Notamacropus eugenii: one gene and its partners. The protein of the gene in region 1 interacts with the protein of each later gene in a biochemical or structural test. Links are inferred from orthologs where the notes say so. Each region holds a gene or a part of one and is shown in the gene's direction. Other genes may lie near its edges.

Region 1 (7,607 bases):
GGGATTTAGCAACCTAGTCCTTTGGATCCCCAAATTTAACAATGTCTTATTTCACTGACATTATTGAGGTTTCATCTCCTGACCCGACAACCTGGAGATGATTTAAGAAAATCCTTCTTTCGTTTTCCAAATACCATCTACCGTTTCCCCGGGGACCGGTTTGAAACAAGGTTTGTGGGCAGGACAGGTAGAGTGTGTATCCACTGCCTTCTTATTCTAAGGCCCTCCATCCCTCAGCCCCTCTTTATTCTTGGCCAGTTATTGACAACGTTTTTTTTTCTTGGACTTGGACAGGGCTCGCGTGATGAGTTCGCCCGGTCCAGAATGACTGCAGGGATGCATTTTAATTCCGCTAGCTAGATCTTGCGCACCGAGAGGTGTGATAACGCTTCACGTCCGCATCTCAAGACTGTTGGATGGGAAAATCCTTGAGGACCTGCCTGCAGGGCTAACACTGGTTTCTTAAGGATTGGTGAGTGGGGCGCATTCCGCGCTCACACGCACACAAGTCTTTGGAATGGCGATAGGGAGGGGAGAAGGTTCTAAGTCTCGATCTCGTTACACAGAAGATTGCTTTCCCAGATAATAAGAAGGATCCAGAGATTGCGTGGAACAGTTCAATCCAATCTGCAGCAACATTTACATGGTCGAATGATGTAGTTTGCTGTCATTCTAGTTCAGACATATTGAATTTTCACTCGTAGCTCCCAGAAGTTTTTAAGCTCCCCGCTTGGGCCATGTTTGTATATCTTGAGGGCTGGGGGAGGCAACCTTCTAAACAAAAATGGCCCTTCTCTTCATCTTCCTTCTTTCTCAAATCCCACCTCCCTCATAAACTGAGGGTGCCGACAGCTTTGTGCTGTTTTCAGCCAAATCTGGCGTCTGAGTCAAGGTTTTCTGAGTCTCTCTCTTCCTGAGGTAAATTATTTCGTTTCCCTTTTGCCCTTCCATGTCCCCTCCTTAGGCCACCATCATCTTCCTTTCTGCTCCCACCAAAATCGTAGCTGGGAAAAATTCCAGCCCACATAAACCAAAAAGGGGAAGGGGGATTGACTGAGGTCCGTGGAGGTGGAGAGCTGAATAAAAGCAAACACCGCTTTTCTCCCTTTAATTAAAGTTTATTTTGTGCACACGTATTTAGCAGCGAAGTCACTGTTTTAATTTTAAAATGATCTTCCTTCCGCCATCCCCAACTCCCCGTGATTGAAGGGTACCTCAGTAGCAGGTTAGAAACGTGTGCAAGCCTCGACTTCGACTTTGATTGAGAGCTTAGGTAATCTCATCCTCACCAAAAAAGCCAGCCCCTGCATGAGCAGGAGGAAGTATTGTTGGCTCACCCCCATACTAAACCCAAACAAGCTAAAGGAATCAGAGGGAAATACCGCCTCCGCCACCATCCAACCCTTTGCAATTGTTTCATGGTCGAAATTCAAATGCATCCAAACGCCCTCTTAAACCCACATCCTGGAGGGGAGAACCTGCAGCATCCAACTTCACCATCCGCTCTAGTCAACCGAAATAAACCCACCCAGTGCTAGATACTGGCGTCCCAATACCAACTCCTGATTTGTGATCCAAATCTCAGTGATTACATGGGACGCCTGCACGCTAATTGCAGTCCTACAGACTAATCGCTAACGCAATTAGTATAGCCCTGTGACAGAAACTTCTCCGCTAGAGCCTTGCAAACAAACCATTAGGGAGAACGGAAATCATCTTCCGGGCTTTGCCTCGCCCCTCCTCTCCCTCCCTCCCTCTGCCCTGGGAAAGACAGAATGCACATTGAAATATCACCTTGGTGCCCACCTAGGTTTTTAGGCCGTCTCTCCTGGGGTCGCGTCAAATTGTAATAGCGACAGAAGACTTACAGTAACCCCAACATCTTGCCGTTTGCAGAGTAAAAATAACAAAACATTTCGTATCCCCAAGGTGCTTGATTATTTTCGTTAGAAATAATGTTTCCAAGGACTACTATGATAAAGCACCAAATGGAGCCTCCTTTCCCTTGACTCTTTAAATTGGTCCTCATTACGTGATTTCCCCTCTAATGACTTCTTCAAACTCCCATCTTCTCTCAGTCCTCTCCTGACCATTTTAACCAAATGAGTAGAGTCCAAACAATTAACAGGAAGGAGAAAATGGGATTCGAATTAGGTTTATCACTTAAAATAGTAAGGGTGATCATTTGACTTCCTTAGCTTCCAGAACACCTCCGCCCCCAATACACATACGCAGGTATACATCTTAATTTGGCAACTTAATTCCACTTGCACCTTCTCTCCTTAGCCTGTTTTTTTTTTTCATAAAGGAACATTTGCCTGCTTTGATGGGGCTGAATTGGCTATTTTCTTTTTCTTCTGATCATTATTAACATAATTAGTTTGTTCACGTTTCCTTTAAACTATCAGATGATATAAACGTTCATAATAGTATCTAAGGTGCAGAGATCAAACATGCTAATATTAAAGGAAACATAATACCTCCACACTCTCTTCCCAAAATAAAGAAAAGAAAGAAAATGGGTTTCTCTCCAACTCTTTAGCATTAGTTTACTGATATACTGTAGCAAGATTTTGTTTTTGTTTTTCCTCTAAGGCATAAAATTGTCAGCTGTTCAAAGCGGATTGAATTTCCTTCACTTCCTTCTCCCCTCTCTGCCACCCCTTTTATCCTTATCCCAGACTCCCCATATATTACTAATAATATTTCTGCTAAGCATGAATTATTCATGAAAAAGTAAACCCTTTCAAATGTTTTCATTCCTTAAAAGTTGTTTGGTAAAATTCTATGCCAAAAGAAGCAGTTACCAATGGGTGAAGTTTTCGATAATATACAGTGCTGTCACGATCCCTGACAGATGACTATCAACTGAACAATTAATAGTTTTGGTGTTATTTGTGACCCTGGGGAAAGATGAGGAATCTTTACATGTATATATATATATATATGTACATATATATACATATTATATATATATATGTATATATATATAATATAACATAACCAAATCTAGTTTTCAACTCAAGGAAGACACTGACTTGGGGTCTTACTAGATGTCTACTAGCTGTAATAACTCAACCGAGATGTTCCTCTGGCATAGTTAAGGCTGGCAAAAGTAGCAAAATGTAAGAATTTTCTGAAATGAATCGTGCTTTCTAACCTTAATGTCCCCTAAGTGTAACAAAAGATAATCATGAAAATAGTCCCGAAAGCATAGTTCTGGTACACAGTGCCAGGGAGATGGTGGGAGATTAGGGGACATTTGAGGTTTTATTCTGATTTTTCGCCCTTTCTTGAAAGAATGCCGTAGCTCTGATTCCTGCCCTCTCCTCACCTTACTCTGTTCATCTACTGATTTTGCATTCTGACATACATTACTTACTGTCAGCTCATGGGTGCCTTCCTTCGTTCTCCTTCCCCTCTTCCCTTGCTCTACGCCTTCCATGCTCACACTCTTTCCTGCACTACTGTGTGTATCAGGGCATCCAAAGGACATCTGCCTAAAATGCCTGTGGAATAAAAGTGATGAAAGAGTGATCATTTTAATTATAATTAAGACGTTCAACTTCCCCTTATTAGTCTTTGTGTTTCCTCTCTCCCCCTTTTCCCCCACTTGATCTCCCAAAGCCCGGAAGTTTGTGCTCACTGGTACCCAAATTATATGTGTTTTTACAGTCCTACATACTAATTGTACATGTATATATGTATGTGCGTATATCCCAATGTGAATATAGGTATGATGTATATATACCCCCCTACAAATACATGTGTGTATGTGTATGCAATACATGTATACCTGTGGCTCTTTTCCTTCTCCGTTTCTTTTCTCCCTTATTAGTTAAGCAGTGATTTCTGTGCGGTTTCATTCCCCCATTTTCTCCTTTCTGCTTATCCCCCTCCCCCCAATTCCCTTCTTTCAGAGCTTCTATCAATGTGGTGTCAATCAGAGCGGCGGCTTCGCTTTCATCTTCCCTCTCCCCCTTTTCTGAGAGAGAGAGAGAGAGAGAGAGAGAGAGAGAGAGAGAGAGAGAGAGAGAGAGAGAGAGAGAGAGAGAAAGCAGGAAAGGTGGGGGGCATCTGGAAGAGTAAGAAGAGTGGGGGACGAGGAAGGAAGGTTAGATGTTAAAGTTAAACCCTAAAGGCAAGACCCCCAATTTTCAACTTCACATAAGCGTATCAATTCTTTGAGGGGCAGAAGGGGCAGCCCCGAGATCCTTCCCTCCCTGTCGAAGTTGCCTAATTTTTCTCCCCCGGAGACACACACAAACACACCCCACACGCGGAGGACCAGTCCTACAGGCTCTGTGAAAAGAAAAAAAAATCACCCTCAATCACCACCTCCTCTGCCCCCACCCCCCCACCCCTCTTAAGCCGCCAGCCTAGGAAAGAAAGAGGCGGAGGAGTTGAGGGGGGAGGGGGTATCCAGAAGGGAGGAGGAGAAGATCCGACGCTTGTGGATAGCTTTTCAGCGCCGGAGAGGCGAGGGAGGTGGAGAATCGGCCGGGAGGCGCAGCCGCTCACCTGCAGAGAAGAGCGAAGAGGAGGAACCCTCAAAGCCCCGACCGCCCCTCAACCTCCCCCTGATCTCCGGGCTCTGTGGACTCCTCCAGAGGCGCCGGGACGAGGCTCTCCAGTCCTTGCTCTCAGCAGGAGTCAGTTTCCCCTCCCCCTTCCCCCCAACTCCCCCTTCCCCTCCGCGCGCCCCCTTGGCTCCAGTAGTAGCGGAGGGACTTAGCTACTAACTTGCTCTGACAGAGACTGCGGACACAGCTGAAGGGTGGCGAGCAAAAGCGATCCAGGGTGCGAGAAAATTAAGGCTGGAGAGAAACTTGAAACAAAGAAGAGTTTGCCTTATATCTGAGACTAGGATTTTTTTTTCTTTTCTGTATTTGTGTGTGTTTGTGTGTGAGTGTGTGTATGAGACAGAGACCAGTGTTTTTATTCCTTGCGCCCCTCGGCTCTCCACACCTCCGGTGGCACAAACTTTATTCTTGGCAAACTTTTCCCTCCCTCCCTTCATTTCTCCTTCCCTGTCTTTCCTCCTCTGCCCCTGAGTTCTGTCCTCTGCTTTCATCCCCTCCTACAGATTAAATGGGCTTTGAAATGCAAAGGCGAAGAGAAAGGGAAAGAAACCATAAGCTGTAAGGACACGCGTCTTCAGGTTGCTGATTATTTGCTACAGAGATAGATGCCCATATACATCTATCGCTGCTCCAGGAAGTGGAAATTACATTATCTCCTGACTGTCCTTGCAGCTTCTCATCGTGGGAAAACGCGAACCCGGAGCCTTTTGGGCAAGCTCCGTCACTCCCTTTTGAAAACAAAACGACTCTAATATCCACTTTGTCCAGAAGATCCAGAAGATTGCGCGGAGGCCTGCCTGCCTCGCCTCCGCACTTCTGGCTAGCCCCCACCCCCTCACCACTCACACCAACTTCCACTGGCAGACACAACAGAAGGCAGGGACTTTGGTGGAGAAGCAGGAGCGAGCGCCTCGCTTACCAGAGGCACGGGAGTGATCGGGGAAGAGAGCCGACTTCGACAGCTTGGCTGAACCTCCCACTCCTCGCGGTTCCTGCTATTCTCCCTTCGGGTCTGGAGCTTGGCTCACTCCTCTGGAGGGGTAGGCACGACTAAGAGGCCATCACCAAGGCGTCCCTACCAGCGGCTGCAAAGGAGGCTTGTTGGCCGAGTGCCCCTGAGCAAGGAACGTCCCCATTCCATTCTTTTCTTGCACGCCAGTTTCAACTCTCTCAATCTCTGCCTCCTCTCCCCCCCCCCCCCCCTCCCTTTTTGTGTGCTTTTGTTGTGTCGTCGCTGCCGCGGTCGCTCCCCCGGAGGAGAGGGGATTAAAGAGCAGCCAGAATGCCCCAGCTCTCGGGGGGAGGTGGTGGCGGCGGCGGCGGGGGGGACCCGGAGCTGTGCGCCACCGACGAGATGATCCCCTTCAAAGACGAAGGCGATCCGCAGAAAGAAAAAATCTTCGCAGAGATTAGTCACCCTGAAGAGGAAGGGGACTTGGCCGACATCAAATCCTCCTTGGTCAATGAATCCGAGATCATCCCAGCCAGCAACGGGCATGAGGTGAGCTCCCCACTCCCGCAGCCTGAAAAAACATGGGACGCACCCTAGGGAGGAAGGAAAGAAATGGGTGACTGGCTGTGTTTGTGGGTCTTTATGTAAGTGTGTGTGTGGGGGGGGGGGGTGGCACAGAGAGTTGTGGTGCTAAATGTATAACTTCTTATTTTGGCGAGGGGTGGCGGGGTGCTAGACCATTAAGGAAATGCTCCTGTTTTGTGTGCACAGGTGTGTGTGTTGTGTGGTTGTGTGTGTGTGTGCTGCCAAACTTCTGAAGTTAGTGGTTTTCTGGGGCTCGTTGATATGGCCATCGGGAATACACGGTCTCGTGCGTGTTTCCCAGGATTTCTTAGGACTCATAACCTGGAAGGAGAGTTCAGCCCTGGATATCTTCTCTGGGCCTCAGTTTCCCTTTCTACAATACAAAGGAGGTGAACTAGATGGCCTGAGGACTCTTCTAGCTTTAAATCTTTCTTCGCGTTCTTTTTTTTTCTTAGTGTAGGCGAGAGATGAGAAAGAGGATGGGGCAAAGGAAGGAGGGGGAAGAAAAGGGAGGGGGGGCATACTAACAGTCAAAAGTTTTCCTTTAATGCGTACAGTTGTCTACCCTAGTGTGTCAAACCACCAAAAAGCATTTGGAGATGGGGTGGGGGCGGAGAGGAAGGGCGGTGGGCTGCGGGCGTGGGGCAGGGGCTGACTCTGGGGCTGCCAGCTGCGGAACCGGTGGAGCAAGCAAGCGAGGGAGGGAGGCCCGAGGGGAGCAGAGCGCACGAGTGGGAGGCTACTGTGGAGGTTAGGGATGGGAAGGGGCCCGCAGCCCAAAAACAGCTGCCCACATCCCACTCAGAGGCAACAGCCACGGTAGCTGAAGCCCGTCACTTGTGGCCCCGAGGAATCTGAGACCCAGACGTGTTGCCTACAAGGTCGTTGCCTCTTTATTCACAGCACGTTGGTTTTCTTCCACCTCCCTTCATCACCTCCCTACCCCTCCATCTCCCACCCCCCAGGTTGTGTCTATTGCTGTTCGGGCGCTGAAACTAAGATACAGAAACTCCGGCGTAAATCGAGATAAAGCCAGGCCCGTGGCACCAAAGGAAAGGGGGGTGGGGGGGTGGGGGGAGAGATCGACGATTCTTTATCGGATCTACTTGTTCTCCTTTGGCCTCGCGCTCCTTGAGATAGCGCCAGTAACCCGAGTAAAGTAAATAGAGACACGTGGGTGCCTGAGAGAAAAAGGGAAGACAACTGAAGGGGGCGGGGGGGGGGGGAGGGGAGAGACGGGGGGGAAACTCTGTCCCTTGTATGAAAACCTATCAGATGTGTGTGGACGTCCAATAACTGTCAATAACTGTCCAGCTCTGTGCTGGGATTGGGAAAGCCATCTGAATTGAACCCCCAAACTATAACACCAAGGCTGCTCCCCTAAAGACATCTAAGTTAGTGTCCCCATTCTTCACCAAGGCTGAGTGTATAGAAAGACTCTAGGGAGATAGTACCATAATAAAAATAAATATATCCCACATTCTCCT
Region 2 (7,401 bases), on another chromosome or scaffold:
TTACAGATGAGGAAACTGAGGCAAACAGAGTTAAGTGACTTGTCCAGGATCACACAGCTGCTTAAGTGTCTGAGGCCAGATATAAACTCAGGGAAATGAGTCTTCTGAACTGGAGGCCCATCACTTTATCCACTGCTCCACTAATGTTTAATGCCTCCAGATGACTCTTAAAGAATAAATTGCAGAAAAAGCAGACTGGTTGTAGTGGGGTATTCCATACCCAGAGTCCCTTTTCTTGCCTCTCCCCTTGCCTTCTCCCATGATATTACTGATGTAAACAAAAAAAAAGTGATCAAAGAAGAGGCAGAAAAAAAAGGACTTTGGCTCTTCAAAGGGGCTCTCAATGTGGGATGGGATGGTTAGCAAGGACTCCATGAAGGATCTGAGCTGGACCTTGCATTCTGGGTTGGCCCTTTATAGGAGAAGAGAAGGTACCAGGGCATTGTGGGTGGTTTGCTGTTCGAGTCGCCCCGGGCACTTCATTCTCAAGGAGGACCAAAAGGACATCACCATGATAAAGTGAAGTTTCAATGAGTATGACTGAGCTCACAATGCTCTACCACAGGTTGGACACAGATAGTCCATGTGAACATTTGGGGTGGTTACTCCAAATGTGCGCATCCTACATTTCCTTTGTGCTGTTTCAATTCTGCTTTGCTCATAGAGCACAGTACTTTTTCTGATGTGGGCACACCATGCTGAGCAGTCCTGTGCTAGTGTCTCCCATGTCCCCCAATCAAATCCAAAGTTCTTGAGAGAGACCTTGAGAGTGTCTTTGTATCACTTCTTCTGACCACCATGTGAGTTCTCCATAAAATAGTCTTTTTGGCAAGCGTACATTTTGCATTAGAACAACGTGGCCAGTCCATCAGAATTGTGCTCTCTGAAGAATAGTTTGAATGCTTGGCAGTTTAGTTTGAGCAAAGACCTCAGTGACTTATCATGCCAGGTGATCTTCAGAATCTTCCTAAGACAGTTCAAATGGAAGTGATTCAGTTTCCTGGCATGGCACTGGTAGACTGTCCATGTTTCATAGACATACAACAATGAGGTCAGCACAATGACTCTATAGACCTTTAGTTTGGTAGTCAGTCTAATACCCCTTCTCTCCCAAACTTTTCTTCGGAGCCTCCAAAACACTGAGCTAGCTCTGGCAATGTGTGTGTCAGCCTCATTGTCAATGTGTACATCCCTGCAAAGTACACTACCAAGATAAGTGAACTTATCCACAGCATTCAAAACTTCTCCAGCCATGTATAGATGGGTGGTGGTGGCTGATGGAGCACCTGTGTTATTAGGCCAAAATTAGTAAAGGCAGCAGAGAACTGATCCATATTTTGTTGCATCTCAGCTTCAGAGGCTGCAGTGACTGCACAATCATCTGCAAATAGAAATTGCACCAACACTTTGATCTTGGCTACAGCCTTTTCAAATTGAAGAATTTACCATCAGCACAATAGTTGACTTTCATGCTGTGTTCATCCTCATTGAAAGCATTTGACAACATGGCTGAAAACATCGTGCTAAAAAGCATGGGAGCAAGCACACAGCCCTGTTTCACTCCACCGGTGAGCACGTGACCATTGTCACTATCCAGAACCTGGGCAAACATGCCATCATGAAATTGATGTACAATACTGATGAACTTCTCTGGTCAACCAAATTTTGGTATAATTTTCCATAAGCTCTCATGACTAACAGTGTCAAAGGCCTTGGTCGGATCTACAAACATTGTATATAGACCTCTTCTTCTCCTGGCATTTCTTCTGGAGTTGTTGGGCAGCAAACACCATATTGATTGTTCCTTGGCCCTTTCTGAAGTCACACTGGCTCTCAGGTGGATGACCATTTTCCATTTGAAGGATTAGCCTATTAAGGAGGACTGTAGCAAGAATCTTGCCAGCAATGACTAAGAGAGAGATGCCCCTGTGATTGTAGCAGGACAATCTATTCCCTTTACCTTTATAGAGATGGACAATGGCATTCAAGGTAAGACTCCAGCAAAGACCCAGCAGTAAAGACAGTATTTGGGGGACAATGAAGAGACCTTCCGGGCTGGAATGGGGTGTATATTTGTGGGACTAGTAAGAGATAATGCTGGAAATAGATAAAGTAATTATAGAAAGCCTTGGCCCTCCTTCCTCAATCAAAGGACATCTTGGTATTTAACTTCCCTCTGGTTCATCTTTTCCTTTTGAAAAAGCAGTGTGGTATAATGGTAAAAAGCACATAGGGAGTAATCCTGCCTCAAACACTTACAACCTATGTGACCATAGGCAAATCATTTCACTCCTCCAAGCCTCAACTTCTGTATCTGTAAAATGGGTGGTAATCTCCATGTTACAGGATTGTTGCAGTGAAGATCAAATGTGATGATGCTGAGTGTGTAAAAAGCTGTTGTAAATGTAAAGCCTATATAATTCTCTGATCTAAGAAACCTCAATTCCTTCGGTTTTTCCTTAGAGCCCTTTCCCAATTCTTTCATCACTGCAATTGTCCCACACTGGACTTTTTCCAGTCCTACCCATCTTGCCTTCAACTTGAACAGGACCCAGCCCATGCTCAGCATAAGAACAAGATCACCTCCCACACTTCCTGTACATTATATTCCCGTTCATGCATTCCAGTGTCCTGTTTGCTTTTTTAAAACAGCAACTGCTATCTTGCTGACTCACATCCCACTTCCAGTTTATCATCCCCAGTGCCTAAAAAAATCCTGAGGAGAAAGGCCTCTCAGCTGATGCTTTTGGGAAGGTATGGGAGGGACTAATGGATCGACCCCAATGTTTGTACCCCTCTTGGATGAAAGATGGGAGGACAGAAACCCCCATCCAGAACAAACTCCACACACTTGCTGGTTTGCTTCTCTCAGGGAAACAGCCTTCGTTTTGTGGTCTGTGTGCATATCTTAGGGCCCTTCAATTCAGTTCATTTCAAGTCATTACGTTCTTATTAAGCACCAAACATTATGCTAGATGCCGAGAATGCAGGGATTAAAAAAAAAAACTTAAGCTGCTTCTGCCCTCAAAGAACTTATATTTTATTGGAGGAACATATGGACAATTAATCTTTCTATCCTTCCACCAAGCTTGGAATTAAAAGAAAAAAAGGATGCATCAGTCTTAATTGCAGTGGTGAGCCTTCATAAATTCATAAACTCCATTCTCTTCCATAGGAAGCCAAGCTTTGGAGAATGCCAGAGATGGGGCAGCACGTGGGCAGTGTGTCCAGATGCCAGGGCTGGCTCAGTGACTGAATTACTAGGTGACCTCAATTTTCCTTCCCTTTCTCCTCCTCTTGAAAAGCGGTCTAAGGTCAGGGTTGTTTATCAAAGAGAAGGTGAAGCTTGTCTCTCACAAATCAAGTTTAGATAAGCATTAGTGTGGCTGATCCTTGGCTTGGACTCCTCCCACTGAATGTAGGCTCCACCCCTTCTCACATGCCCCGCCCATCTTTTAGGCCCCGCCCCTTGAAGAGATCTTCGCACAAATGACAGCGAGGTCTCCATAGCCCTACCCTATATGGGATCTGGGGGGCGGCACCGACAGCAGTTCTCACTTCCATTTGTCAATTCCAGGTGTCCATCTTCGTGGCGTTCCGCCTTTGCTCCTTTCCCTGGTCAGGATTGGTGGTTCTATTCTTTGTCTTCAACCTATCATTGGTCCTTTCATTCCACCCCTCTGTTTCAGATCTTATAGCCGAGCTTAGCACGCAGCTTCCTGCTCCTGCCCCCCAAAAAAAGAAGAAGAAAAGAAAAAGGCCGAAAAAAAGCGGGGCTAAAGAGAATGTCACCGGGGATCTTTGGTTTCCGATTCGCTTTCGGGCCCGTCCTTCAGAACGAACTCTACCTCTCGATTGGACCGTAAGCCTGCCTATCGAGGCTCGAAGGCGGGATTTCCCCAGGAGCATCCCCACCTTACCTCCACTGGTCGAGCTACCCGCCCGTCTGGGGCTCCGCACCCGCGATTGGAGGCGGGCACAGGGAGGCGGGTTCGGATTGGCCGAGGCGGCCGGTCAGTGCGAGGCTGGGGCGGGGCCTTGGCGGCTGGTTGCGCGTGTCCGCCGCTGGCTCCGCTCTATCCGGCTGTGCAGGGAGGTGAGTCCGGCGGCGGCGGCGGCGGCGGCGACGGCTGAAGGAAGGAGGCGGCGGCGGCGGCGGCGGCTGCTGCTGCTGAAGAGACACAGAGAAGGCGGGGGCGGCGGCGGCGGGGAGCCGGGTGGGGGCAGGGGGGAGACGGAGCAGTCGTGAGCCCGGCGGGGCCGTCGCGCGGGGGACCCACCCGCTCTCCCCCCAGCCCTGCTCGGCGGCGGGGGCAGGAGGCGAGCCGAGCTCGAGCGCACCCCACCCGCCTCCCGCGGCTCCATCGCTGGGCCCGGGCCCCGGCCCCGGCGCCTGGCTCAGCCGGAGCCTCAGCCCCCGGGGCGGTTCCCTGTGCCTGGGCTGGGGATCGAACGAGCAGCGAGCGCTGCCCATCTTACCTCCCTCCCGCCCCCCTTCCATCCCCTCCCCCCCATCCTCCTCCTCACTTTCCCCCTTCTCTTTCTCTCCTCGTCTCCTTCCCTGTCTCCTGCTCCTCTCCCCCTCACTCCCTCCCTCCCTTCCCTGCCACCTTCCCACATTCCCTGGCTCATCCTGCCCGGGGAAAGTTTAGCCACCCCCCCCCCCCGCCCCCATCCCCATCCTCCCCTCCCTTCCCCTCCCAGTCCACCTAACTGAAGAGGAAGGGGAGATGTAGGAGGAAGGCCCGAGGGGTCCAGGGGGGGGGGGGCTTCGTTCTCTGATTTCCCCCCCCATCTTAAAAACCAATTGTTTTGTGGTGGTGGGGCGGGGAGAGAAGGTGGAGTGAGGATTTTATTTTTGAGGAGTTGGAAAGGTGTTCAGAAAAGGATGTGGGAATGGAAGGGGTAGGTGAAGCCGCCTTACTTAGAGGTTTCCAAGGGTGGTGTGTTCCCTGGGTCTTTCTGTGTGAGTGGTTCTGGGGGAGCAGGAGATTTGGCTTCTATACTTACATTCAAAGTTAGTGGGCTCCCCCCAAAAATGTTAATAATGAAGTTTTAGTACTCAGTTGTGGCAGGAATCCTGGGGGGAAGGGGTCTCTTTTTCTTTTTGTTTTGGTTTTGTTTTGATTTCTCTTTTTTTGCAACACACACCCACAAAGGAAAAGAAAACACCAAGATCCTCTAAATTGTTTGGATTGATTGATGAAGACATAAAGCCTGTTAAGCTCTATGTTTTTCAAGGTGGAGTGGTGTTCTTCATTTTTAAATGGCCAAATGACAGCTTGACCCAATTTGTTTTCAAATCAAAGGGCATTTTTTAATGTCTCTTTGTGGCACGGCAGCCAACGCAAAGATGATGGCGGCTTACAATGGTGGTACATCTGCCGCGGCAGCAGCAGGTCACCACCACCACCATCACCACCACCTTCCACACCTGCCTCCTCCACACCTTCACCACCACCACCACCCTCAGCACCATCTCCATCCCGGATCAGCTGCTGCTGTCCACCCGGTGCAGCAGCATACCTCCTCGGCGGCGGCCGCGGCTGCAGCAGCCGCGGCCGCTGCTGCCATGTTAAACCCCGGGCAGCAACAGCCATATTTCCCATCACCGGCACCAGGTCAGGCCCCTGGCCCAGCTGCCACGGCCCCAGCTCAGGTACAGGCTGCAGCAGCAGCTGCAGTGAAAGCGCACCATCATCAGCACTCACACCATCCACAACAGCAGCTGGACGTTGAGCCGGACAGACCTATTGGATATGGGGCCTTTGGTGTTGTCTGGTGAGTATGAAAAGAAAGGCACAGCTAATTTTCTTTTCAGCTGTTGTGGTTGGGCACAACCAGCCAGAGGGTGCATGTGGCCTTTGGCATGTGCTCTGCCCAAGGACACTGAGTCTGGCCACGCTTAGGGAAAGACTGCCTCATGTGCTATGAGCAGGCTTAGTGTGCAGCCATGGTGGTAGGCCTAGGCTTGGTCTTAGGATCCATGTCACAGTTTGGACGGCAGTCTTGCTCAAGGGCATGGTGCAAGGCTTGAGTAAGCAGCCAAATGGGTGGCACATAAAGAAGGGATGGAATATGTCTTTCCTTGAAGACCTTGGAAGATCACATCTGGTAGGGTCAGAATTTGCAAACATTTGCCCAGGTTTTTCAAGTATCACAACCATCCCAAGCTAAGCATGTGTCTCATGTTAGAATCTTATCCTTACTTAGCCTGCTTTTTTTTACATCATAACTTCCCACTCCCATTCATCTTTATCCCCTTATTTCATGACCCATCAAGGGCTTTTGCTGGTAAAGTTCCTGGCTGTCACCAACTAGATCATTTCTAACAGCTCTGCATTCCTCAAAAGAAGAAAAGTTAGGCACACTTAAGCATATTTTCTTGACGGGTTTGTTTTAGACCCATGAGGCTATTGTAGTCAGCCCTGTTTAGGAAACCTGTTAGAGCATTAATGGTCTTTTAGTAATGAAGCATCACGTATAGTTTTTCACTCAGGATGTTACAAGTAACATTGGTAGAATGTAGATAAGCAGTGGTCCACATTCATTGTAAGGTTTTAGTGTCATTCAGGGGTCAGTTAAGTTTCTCTCAACCCATATAGAGATAAAGCATTTTTTTAAAAACATTCCTCTACTTACTGTACTCCTAGAATGTATTACAAGAATAGAAAGAAGCAACATTTTGGTTTGTTTTGTCTTCTCTGGAAGATTAAGACACAGTCTTGTGATAAAAGTATCAGTATTTAACAATGTAGAACTCTATTTCTATACAACAATAATGGAGTAGATGGGGAAACATTTCAGAGGTTAGGCTGTCTTTTACAAGCATCAGTGTTCTTATACATACCGAAAAGATTCCTGTTAGTATTTAGTTTTCTCTACCAGTAGAATAGATTGCCTCCACCCATGCATCCCATCCAAACCCCTCTCCAAAGACTTCTTTCATTATTTCTCAGGATGATCCTGTAATTAACATAAATGTATTTTTCTGCATTGTCTCTGGCAATCATGGCTTATTAGTTCAGATTTTTTTTCCTTTATGCTTTCAAGCAGGATCTGATTCATCTCTTTAAAACTAGGAGTCCTTATACCATAGATCAAACTCGCCTGTCCATACTAAAGCTTCATGTGAATAATCCAAGAGGGGAGCTCTCAGGTTTTGTGGGACTGCTAGGAAAGAAGGCAGTACTACAGGAGGGTCCCGCTCTGCTCTGCTGCTTCATTCTCAGCCCCTCGTTGGCAGTGGCTCAGAGTAGCCTCTTCGCCAAAAGGCTGGGAACACTCAGAAGTTTGCCTGTTAAATAGAAAGGGTGACAGCGTTTTGGGACTTCCTTCATTGGGGCTACTTGTGGTAGAAAACAAAGATAGAAAGAGATGGATTGTAGCATCATTCATTAT
Region 3 (8,447 bases), on another chromosome or scaffold:
ATGCCTTAAAAAAGAAATTGTTGATAAAAAACAATACTGACCAGTCAATGTGTCATTTTCATAAAGTCTACTCGTTTCTCTTCAAATGCTCCCAATTTAATTTTGTTGGTTTCCTGCAATCTCTAATTTTACCATATTGTGAGAAACCACAAGAGATTCTTTGGATCTGATTTTATTTGAGGTTTTACTGCTGCATGGATCTGCTACTGATTTTTTTCAACTTTTCAGTCTTTTTTTCCCCTCTTTTTCTGTCTCTTTTAGTAAAGGAGCATGGTGAGCAAAAGGTTATAAAGTAGTGCTGAGAAAAGTCCTTCTGGAGCCCCTCTGACAGGGTTAGGCTCAAAGAAAAATTCCTAGCTAAAAAAAATTAAATGATGAATAATGAAAGCGGTAACTATTAACTAGAAAGTAGAGAGGACAATGAAAATGGCTTTTTTAAAAAGCCTGACCCCATTATTATTTGTTTCATAAAAAAAGAGGTAATCGTTTTAAGAAGATACATAATTTTTTTGGATTCTATGATTAGCTACCTCAATTAACTTTTTTTTCTCATTGCTCTGCAATGCAGAACAGTGGAATAAATCACAGGAAAAGATTTTCTCCTATTAAGGAAACAATACTATCTAGTATCTGTAACATCTAGTATTCATTTGGACATGTAGTGGAAATACTTGTGTTATTAGTAGGTTGAAGATTTGATAATCAACATGTCAATGGAAAAAAATGTACATGCGCATCTATGGTAAAATGAACAGTACCACAATCCTTTGTTTCCTTTTCTGGAAAAAAAAAAAAGGTACTCTTCGTCAGAAGCTCAGTATTACATGGAAACTGCATTTAATATTTTTATCCATATATTCATACATGAATGTGAAGGTTAAAAAAATTATGTTTAACAGACTTCAAATAGAAGAGTAGAAATTATGAATTTGATAAGTAGGCACTTTCTATTTTTCTTTTAAATAATACTGTAGGCAATCTGCACATATATTATTTATTTAAAACATAAGATTAAAGCTGCTTGATTGTTTAAACACCATCATTTGTAATGCAGTTTGATGAGAGTTTTGCAGTATAATTATTACAGTCTGACAATCAAGGAGAAAATATGACCTTGAAAAGGGGCAGAGCCTTCTATATCTTGCAGGGATGCTGTTCTGAGAAAAAGAAGAAACTGGTGAAAAGTAGCCATCATTAGGGCACATAATTAGAGACTTTCAATTGTAAAAGATAATTTTCCAGAGATAACACAGGAAAAATCTGTAAGTCCTGGTGTCTCAATTGCCATAGGTCAGGAAGACCTTTGTCATTAAAGAAACTTAGAGTTTTCTCCAATATACACAGGAAAACCTAGTGATTAAAAACATTTTAAGTTCATAAAAAATTACAGAACATTATTATGGGGTGGGGTGGAGTAGGGAGAATGGAGGGAAGAGGAGGAATAGAGGGGAAGCAACACTGTTTTTGTTCCTGTTCCAAAATACACTGTTTTAATTTGTCTGTTTATATCTAATTACCAGCTTGTGCCAGCAGGTTAAAATTCACACCAGCCAAAGCTGGGTAAGCAGGTGTGTTGCTGTCTCCCTCACTAGGTATCCTCGTATATGCATGCATATCTATGATATGTTCACATGTTCTGCATAAAAGTGAACAAAATCCTATGAATGCAGAAGAAAAATTGTTCTAGGTAAACATAATGGGATATCATTTGAATATTGTCCATCAAACCAAAGTGGATCTTTGATACAATCACCAGATGTTGCCCTCATGTAAACATCTACATGTCCATAATACACTTAGAGGTATATGTATATGCATATAGGTCTGTATACATATAGTTGCATTTGAAATGTATTTGTCAAGGAGGGGAGGAAGGCTGAATTTATGTGATGACATAATCTGACAAAAATAGGAAGCACTTCCAGCGACTTTATTTTCCATGTAAACAAGACAAATAGCAATGTTTGTGATTATTCATGAGTGAAAATTCCACTTATTTAGTAGACTGCAGAGATAAAATTCTGAATGTTTAAGAATTTACTATAGCCTTCAAATATACAGCCTAAAAATGTTTGTTTTTCATTTATAATTGAAGTTTGAGGCTTGATACAATCATGAAAAAATCAATCTTATAAATGTTTTAAAACTGCAACAGTGAAAGATGTTGCATAAAATGATCCTTTAAATATTTTAAGAAGAATGATCTTTGTAAATGCAAGAATCTTTAAATAAAGTGCATCTGTTTAAATAGCAAATGCTTAAAAAAGACTTGAGTCTTTAAGAGTTTTTAAAGAAGACAATTGGGATAAAGTAGTCATTAATACTAAAAGACTCATTAACTAAATTCCAACATAAGATTCATATTTGTCAAAGAAGTACATTTCCAATTGAAGAATATGTTACCATTTGACAAAGATAACATTCACACATGGGGCATGTGGAAAGACTATAATTTAAACAAAACTGAAAACTCTTTGCAAAATTAAAGCCTTTAAAGTTTGTATGCATACATTTGCGCTGACAGAACTGAAAACTACCAATGCATTCTATTTATACAAAGACCTTTGAGTTGATCTATGAATTCCAACTATGTCACTTACCCAACACTCCCCAATTCATCACCTGAAATATTTCAGTGCTCTTTTACCATAAAAACTATCTGGGGGAAAAACAGGTTTGCCAGTACACAGGGGATGTCAGTACACACTATTTCTTCCTCTCTTTTCAGCTTTTGGAAAGATTATGGTGGTAACTGGGGTGTAAGACTCTTAAGAGTCTGCGGTTGATTCACAACATAGGCTGGTTACAATTTGCAAAACAGGGTTTGAGTTCATCCTAAGCAAGTAGCAGGACTTTTCTGCCGACATGTGTGATTTGTGTCATTAGTGCTTTTTCTAGCCTTGTGTTAAATAAAACCACTGTGGTTTTTAAAAAGTGCTTTGAGATCCTAAAAAATAAAATGCTACGCAATTTCAACGTGGATGTTATACGTAAAAATGCCTAGGAATGCCTTCCACTCTGCCTTTTCAAGTGCATGTGCTACCCTTTCGTGTCCGTGAAAAGGTAACTGTTGCTAAAAACAAACCTGAAAGACATTTTGAAAGTGACCTGGCTTTCAAAGTAACAGTATCAAACGAGTGGTTTCCATGAGGGGGAAAAATGTGCTCTTCTTGAACTACCCTCCATTCCCAATCATAACGAATGGTTTGCCTCACTGGGGTACTACTGTCACAGATATCTGGAGGTTTTTTTAAGTGAAAAAAAGAAAACGATATTATTTTTAAAGCCACACACTCTTATCGACACCGCTCCTCGCCCCCTCTCCCTTTTCTCCCCAGAACGCGCCCGCGCGCTCACTCTCCCCCACGTTACTTTGATTGACAGGTCGGTACTGCCGCTCTCCTTCCCACCGACCTTCCCATCCTCCGTGCCAATCTCAGCGTTTCCCCGCTTCCTATTGGCTGGCCTGGGCGTCCCGCAGCTCCTCCAGGAACGCTTCCTCGCGGAGCCGGGGAGGACGAGGCTGGGCGGAGGGGGCGGGAGGAGAGACAGGGGAGACAGTGCTGATGGAAGAGAGGAGAGGAGGGAGAATGGTGAAGTGGGGGGAGGGGGGGAAAGGCCGAGGCTGGTACTGCGCTGCTATAGGACGTTGGGAGGCGTGTCGTCAGGATCCCACGTTGGGGCTTGGAACGGACGATTGGTTGGGCCGGGACTCCCCTCCTCCCCTTCTCCTCCCACCCTCATCCACACGGACTCCATCCTCGGCTCCTCGCCCCCCTTCCCCGCTCCCCGCCCGCGCCAGGGTGGGCGGGGCCGGCCGCTGGTTAGCTAGAGGAGTGTGAAACCGCGTGTTAATGTTACCAGCGCGAGAGGCGCAGGCGGCGGCGGCGGCGGCGGCGGCGGCTTGAGCAGGAGCCGGAGCTGGAGCAGCACCGCCGGATACATTGTGTCCCGCTTCTTGAGAGGCGGCTGCTTGCTACCCGCTCGGTGCCGCTGCTTTGGCGGGCAGTGGCAGCGGCGTCACCGGACCCTTGGCCGGCTGACCACACCGATTCACCTCGGCCCGGCCCCCTGGTCACTCTGTGACTCTCGATAGCCCTGTGGAGTTTGCCTGATTGCAAAAAAAAAGAAAAAAAAAAGGCAGAGAAGATCATCAGAGCGAGCGAGCTAGCGAACGGGCTTGCTCCGTGGAGTCTTCCCAATCGTACCTCGGTTTATGGATGTTTTCCCCGGGATTCCCGGGGAACTTTACTTGTGGCTGGAGCGTCGATTGTTAAAAGGGAAACACAAAAAGGGCGGGGGGTGCCAGGGGGGAAAAGGAAAAGAAAAAAACCCATAAAGGATTAGCAGCGGCAGAAGGCAGCAGGGCTGCGGGGCCGTGCGGGTGTCTATGAATGTGGAGATGCTGCGGCGGCGGCGGCGGTTGCTGCATGGGTGTGTGTGAGTCGCTCCCCGATGTGCTCCAGGCGCGAGGAGGCGGCGGCGGCGGCGGCAGCAGCTGGGAGGCTGCTGCACCCGGGAGGGCTGCACCCTTCTGAGTAACTGAGAATTGCCCCAGCTGGTTCGCCTTTTCTGCTACTAGGATTTCTGTGCAACGGCCAAGAAGACTGTTGCCTCTGTCTACTACTGCCACCCACCACCTCGTCCCCTTGCTTCGGCTTGTTTTAGTTGGGATTTTTTTTTCAGTCTCCACTCCAAGACTGCTTGAGTGCATATGCTGCGTGGCCACCCCCTCCTCTCTTGCGCTCTGTGTCTCTGCACTTTCCTTGCATCATTACCCTTCTCTCTGTGGTTGCTGGTGATCACTTGGCTCGGAGCCTCCACCCCGGGCTCTGTGTGTGCGTTGTGCGTGTGTGTGTGACCCCACCTCCTCCCGGGAGCGCCTTTGAGGCTAGCCGGCCCGAGTACGGATGGGTACGTTTATATGTGAGTGATCCTCGGCTCCCCTTTGCACCCACCGACCCCTGTCTGGGCGGCGTGGGGTGACAATTCCTTACAGATTCGCCTCCTGGCTGCCCTCCCTGGATATCGTCTTTAACTCAAGAAGTCACCCGGCTTGCTCAGGGGTTTCCGGTCCCCTGATTGTTAGTTTGTTTTTGTTGGGGGGTGGGGCGGCGTTCTTTTGCCACCTGCAAGTTGGCCCCCCACGGAGCAAGGACGGGTGGGGGGGAAAGACTGGATTGATTTGCCCTGGACCTGCGCAGCTCGCGCATCTGAGGGGAGTGGTTGGTGGTGGGGGAGTTAACCTTGGTCCCGGCTTTGGCCGTCGGGGAGGAAGACCTGTGCGTCCACCCTCTCTCTCCCACCTCAGCGCCGGAACTGGGGGATTCCATTGTCCACCTCGGGTCCGTTTCCTTCTTCCCGAAGCCTAGAAACTCTCCTCTTCCCTCCCCCACTCCCCGAGGCCGGGCGGGAGACGTTGGCCCCAGTGGGAGGTGGGGGCGGTGAGCAGGAAGAGAGGGAAATGTGGCCCTGAGCTCGGGGCCCGGCCTTGGGAGCCCAAGTGGCCCAACTCCGGCTCCGGTCCTGCCTGGCTGTTGTGCGTGCGTGTCCGTATGTGCGTGTAATGTCAGTGTCTGTGCGCGCGCGCTTGTGTGTGCATGTCTAACGCGCACCCCCCCACCCCCCACCCCACCTCCTCTCGCTTGGATCTTCTTTCTTCCTTCCTGTCTTAATATTTCTCGGCGGGATTAAAGTTGGAAATTGAGCGGAGAATTGAGCTGCCCAGGAGCAAGGCAGCGGCTGCCGTCAGAGCGATGTTCCCGCAAAGCCGGCACCCGGTAAGGAGCGGCGGGGCCCGGGGGCCCTGGGCGTGTGCTTGTGGAGGGTGCATGTTGGGGGGGGGGGGGAAGTAGCCGAAGGTTTGGAGGCTGGGGGAGGCGCTGTTCTGGGGTTGTGCCCTGCCTTTGCCCCACCTTCCCCCCGCGGGGTTCGAGGCTGCTTAGGTTGCCTTCTCGGAGTTGCTGGCCCTGTTTTCCGCTTTGGGTGCGGGGGTGGGGTAAGAGTGGTGGAAGATGCCGTATGGGTTTTGTTTTGTGGTGGGTTTTTTTCTTTGACAAATAGAGTGGAGGCAGAAATCCTCTGGCTTTTTTCCCTCTTGGCCACCTTCCCCTCCCTCCCCCCACTTTTAATTCCCTTTTTAGCACCTCTAAAGGCGGCAGGCACATAGGCTAGCGGGGCAGAGGGACGGGGACAGAGAAGCTTCTTACATTTCTTCTCCCCATCCCTTCTGTTCCCACCTAAGGGAGGAAGGTCTTTAGCTCTCTCTTCCCCCCCCCCAACCTCCAGTAGCTGCCCCCCCCTCAGGTCCCCCTTTGTTCACTATCTTATTTCCATGTCAATTGCAGCCCTGGATCTAGTGGGGCCAGGGCTGGCCCGAGTCCTCTTAGGGGACTCTGGGAACTGGGAGGATGGGGCTGGGGTGTCTGTTACTCCGCTAACCTCCCTAGGGCTATTATCTTTATTGCCTATAGGAGGGGCGGGCACCCATCTTTAACGCCACCTTCGCAGGCCCTTTAGGAGCAGGGTGCTACTTCGACCTGAATTACAGGGGCATCCCCCATCTGTGTCCCCAGGAGTGGGACGGGGAGGGGCAGGGGTAGATTTCCTACCTCGCTTCTACAGGCTCTGGGAGTTTCGGCAAACGGGGTGGGGGCAGGGAGCGAGCGTTGCCGTCTGCCTCCCCTAAAGTAAACTGAAAAAACAAATTAGTTTCTTTTTGTACCTGTGATAGCTGGTAACTTTTGTTTGGGTTTTGTCTCACCTCTCTCTCTCTCTCTCTCCCTCCATCCTCTCCCCTCTCTGCCCTACATTACCTCCCCCCCACTTTCTCTTATTCCTGCACATCTATGCACACCCATCCCACACCTCCTCCAGACGCCGCACCAGGCTGCAGGTCAGCCCTTTAAATTCACCATCCCGGAGTCCCTGGATCGGATCAAAGAGGAGTTTCAGTTCCTGCAGGCTCAGTATCACAGGTGCGTGCAGTGGGAGCATTCAGTCCTGAGCCGACCCTGGCTGGCCCTGCCCTGGGGTTTGGATGTCAGCGTGGAACGTCTTGGGCTTGGTGGGGGTTGGGGGCTCTGGTTTTCTGTTTCTCCCTGTCTTATCCCTGGGGTGGCAGCTGTATTTAGTACTTGTGTCCAGGCGGTGGCGTGTGGAATCACAGTTAAAACCTGTCATTCACTTTCCCCCTCTTTTTTTCCCCTTCCTTGGCTTTTCTCAGTCCTCCTCTTTTTTTTCCCCTCCTCCTATTGTTTTGGCGTCCTGTTTGCTGCTGTTCAAATGAACTTTTTTTGTGTGTTTTGGAGTTAACATGAGAACCGTCAATATTTGCCCTTCATGTATTTATTTTGCAACAGGCTGAGCTGAAAACACTGGCTCAATCAATGTCTTAGTCTTGGAATGCAGGGGACAAATGCAGTGTTGAAATAACTATTTGGTTATGTTGGGGGATAGAGTTGTACAAAGCAAAGTTCATGGTGGAAAGATTACTCCTTTTAAACCTTTAGAGTTGTTGGGCCATTTACATTGAGGTTGACTTTGGAGATCCCCAAAAATAAATAGAATTTCAAGTTCCCAATCTCAGAGCCCCATTGAACTGAGGCTTCTGCATATGAAGTTCATCATAGCACTTGAGTACAAGTGTAGACTTACTGTCCAAATCAGTGGGAATTTTAAACAGTGGAAGAAACACTGATATTGTGGCTTGCTCCTTAGCTTAAAAGCCAACTTCTAACCGAGGCATTAGCTTTTATTCTTTAGAGATAAATGCCATCACGGTTTAAGTTAGTTTCAGCAGAAAGCAGAGGCAACTTATAAATTACCATTTTAATAGGGAATGTGAGTGGATTCTTTATTGTTTTCAGGAATGTCCAATATTCTGTTTAAGGCATGTATTTTCTTATCACACACTTCCAAGGCTATACCTATGTCATTGGTTATCTGATGTGATGTTTTAGTGTGTTTTAAAGACTAGGGTAAAACTAGTTGACTGTTAGGGAATAGTAATTTTTCCATTACAATTTTAAAAACTTAGAGGGATGTTTGAATCCACTGAGTCAAAACACTCAATATATGTTGTTTGAAGTTCAAGTTTCTGTTCAGAGGGTTATCCCACACCACGAACCTAATAAAAATTTAACTAGCCATGAGTTAACAGATGATAAGACTACTGGTTAGTTTGAGGACCTGACTTATTTTTTTACCCCGTACCTGGGATTTTATATACCCTAAGAATGAATCATAATGGAATGAACTGCACATAGAATTCATTTTACTTGTATTCTCTATTAAATACAAGGACAAAGCTTTTGGGTGTTTACTTTGATAGTTTATAGTTTTTCTAAATTGGTCTGTGTTTTTACTTGAAGTGCAAATATGTGAGGCAGATGTTAAAACAAGTGACATAATGTTTACATGAAGTTGCCTGTTTTGTTTTTGTAGCC

Evidence for each region.
Region 2: of the proteins of LEF1 (region 1) and NLK, one has a biochemical effect on the other in vitro, tested with the Homo sapiens proteins (4 studies listed by BioGRID). The link is inferred for Notamacropus eugenii from reciprocal best matches to the Homo sapiens genes LEF1 and NLK.
Region 3: the proteins of LEF1 (region 1) and transducin-like enhancer protein 1 form a complex in vitro, tested with the Homo sapiens proteins (2 studies listed by BioGRID and IntAct, with this or other methods). The link is inferred for Notamacropus eugenii from reciprocal best matches to the Homo sapiens genes LEF1 and TLE1.

The regions. Positions count from the first base shown.
Region 1 is NC_092878.1:122,373,428-122,381,034, forward strand, and holds the start of LEF1 (lymphoid enhancer-binding factor 1), read left to right. Parts: upstream 1-4,498; 5' UTR 4,499-5,865; coding exon 5,866-6,084; intron 6,085-7,607. UniProt on the Homo sapiens protein: Transcription factor that binds DNA in a sequence-specific manner. Participates in the Wnt signaling pathway. Activates transcription of target genes in the presence of CTNNB1 and EP300.
Region 2 is NC_092873.1:35,498,009-35,505,409, forward strand, and holds the start of NLK (serine/threonine-protein kinase NLK), read left to right. Parts: upstream 1-4,324; 5' UTR 4,325-5,320; coding exon 5,321-5,781; intron 5,782-7,401. UniProt on the Homo sapiens protein: Serine/threonine-protein kinase that regulates a number of transcription factors with key roles in cell fate determination. Positive effector of the non-canonical Wnt signaling pathway, acting downstream of WNT5A, MAP3K7/TAK1 and HIPK2.
Region 3 is NC_092872.1:72,093,216-72,101,662, reverse strand, and holds the start of transducin-like enhancer protein 1, read left to right. Parts: upstream 1-5,430; 5' UTR 5,431-5,756; coding exon 5,757-5,780; intron 5,781-6,876; coding exon 6,877-6,977; intron 6,978-8,445; coding exon 8,446-8,447. UniProt on the Homo sapiens protein: Transcriptional corepressor that binds to a number of transcription factors. Inhibits NF-kappa-B-regulated gene expression. Inhibits the transcriptional activation mediated by FOXA2, and by CTNNB1 and TCF family members in Wnt signaling.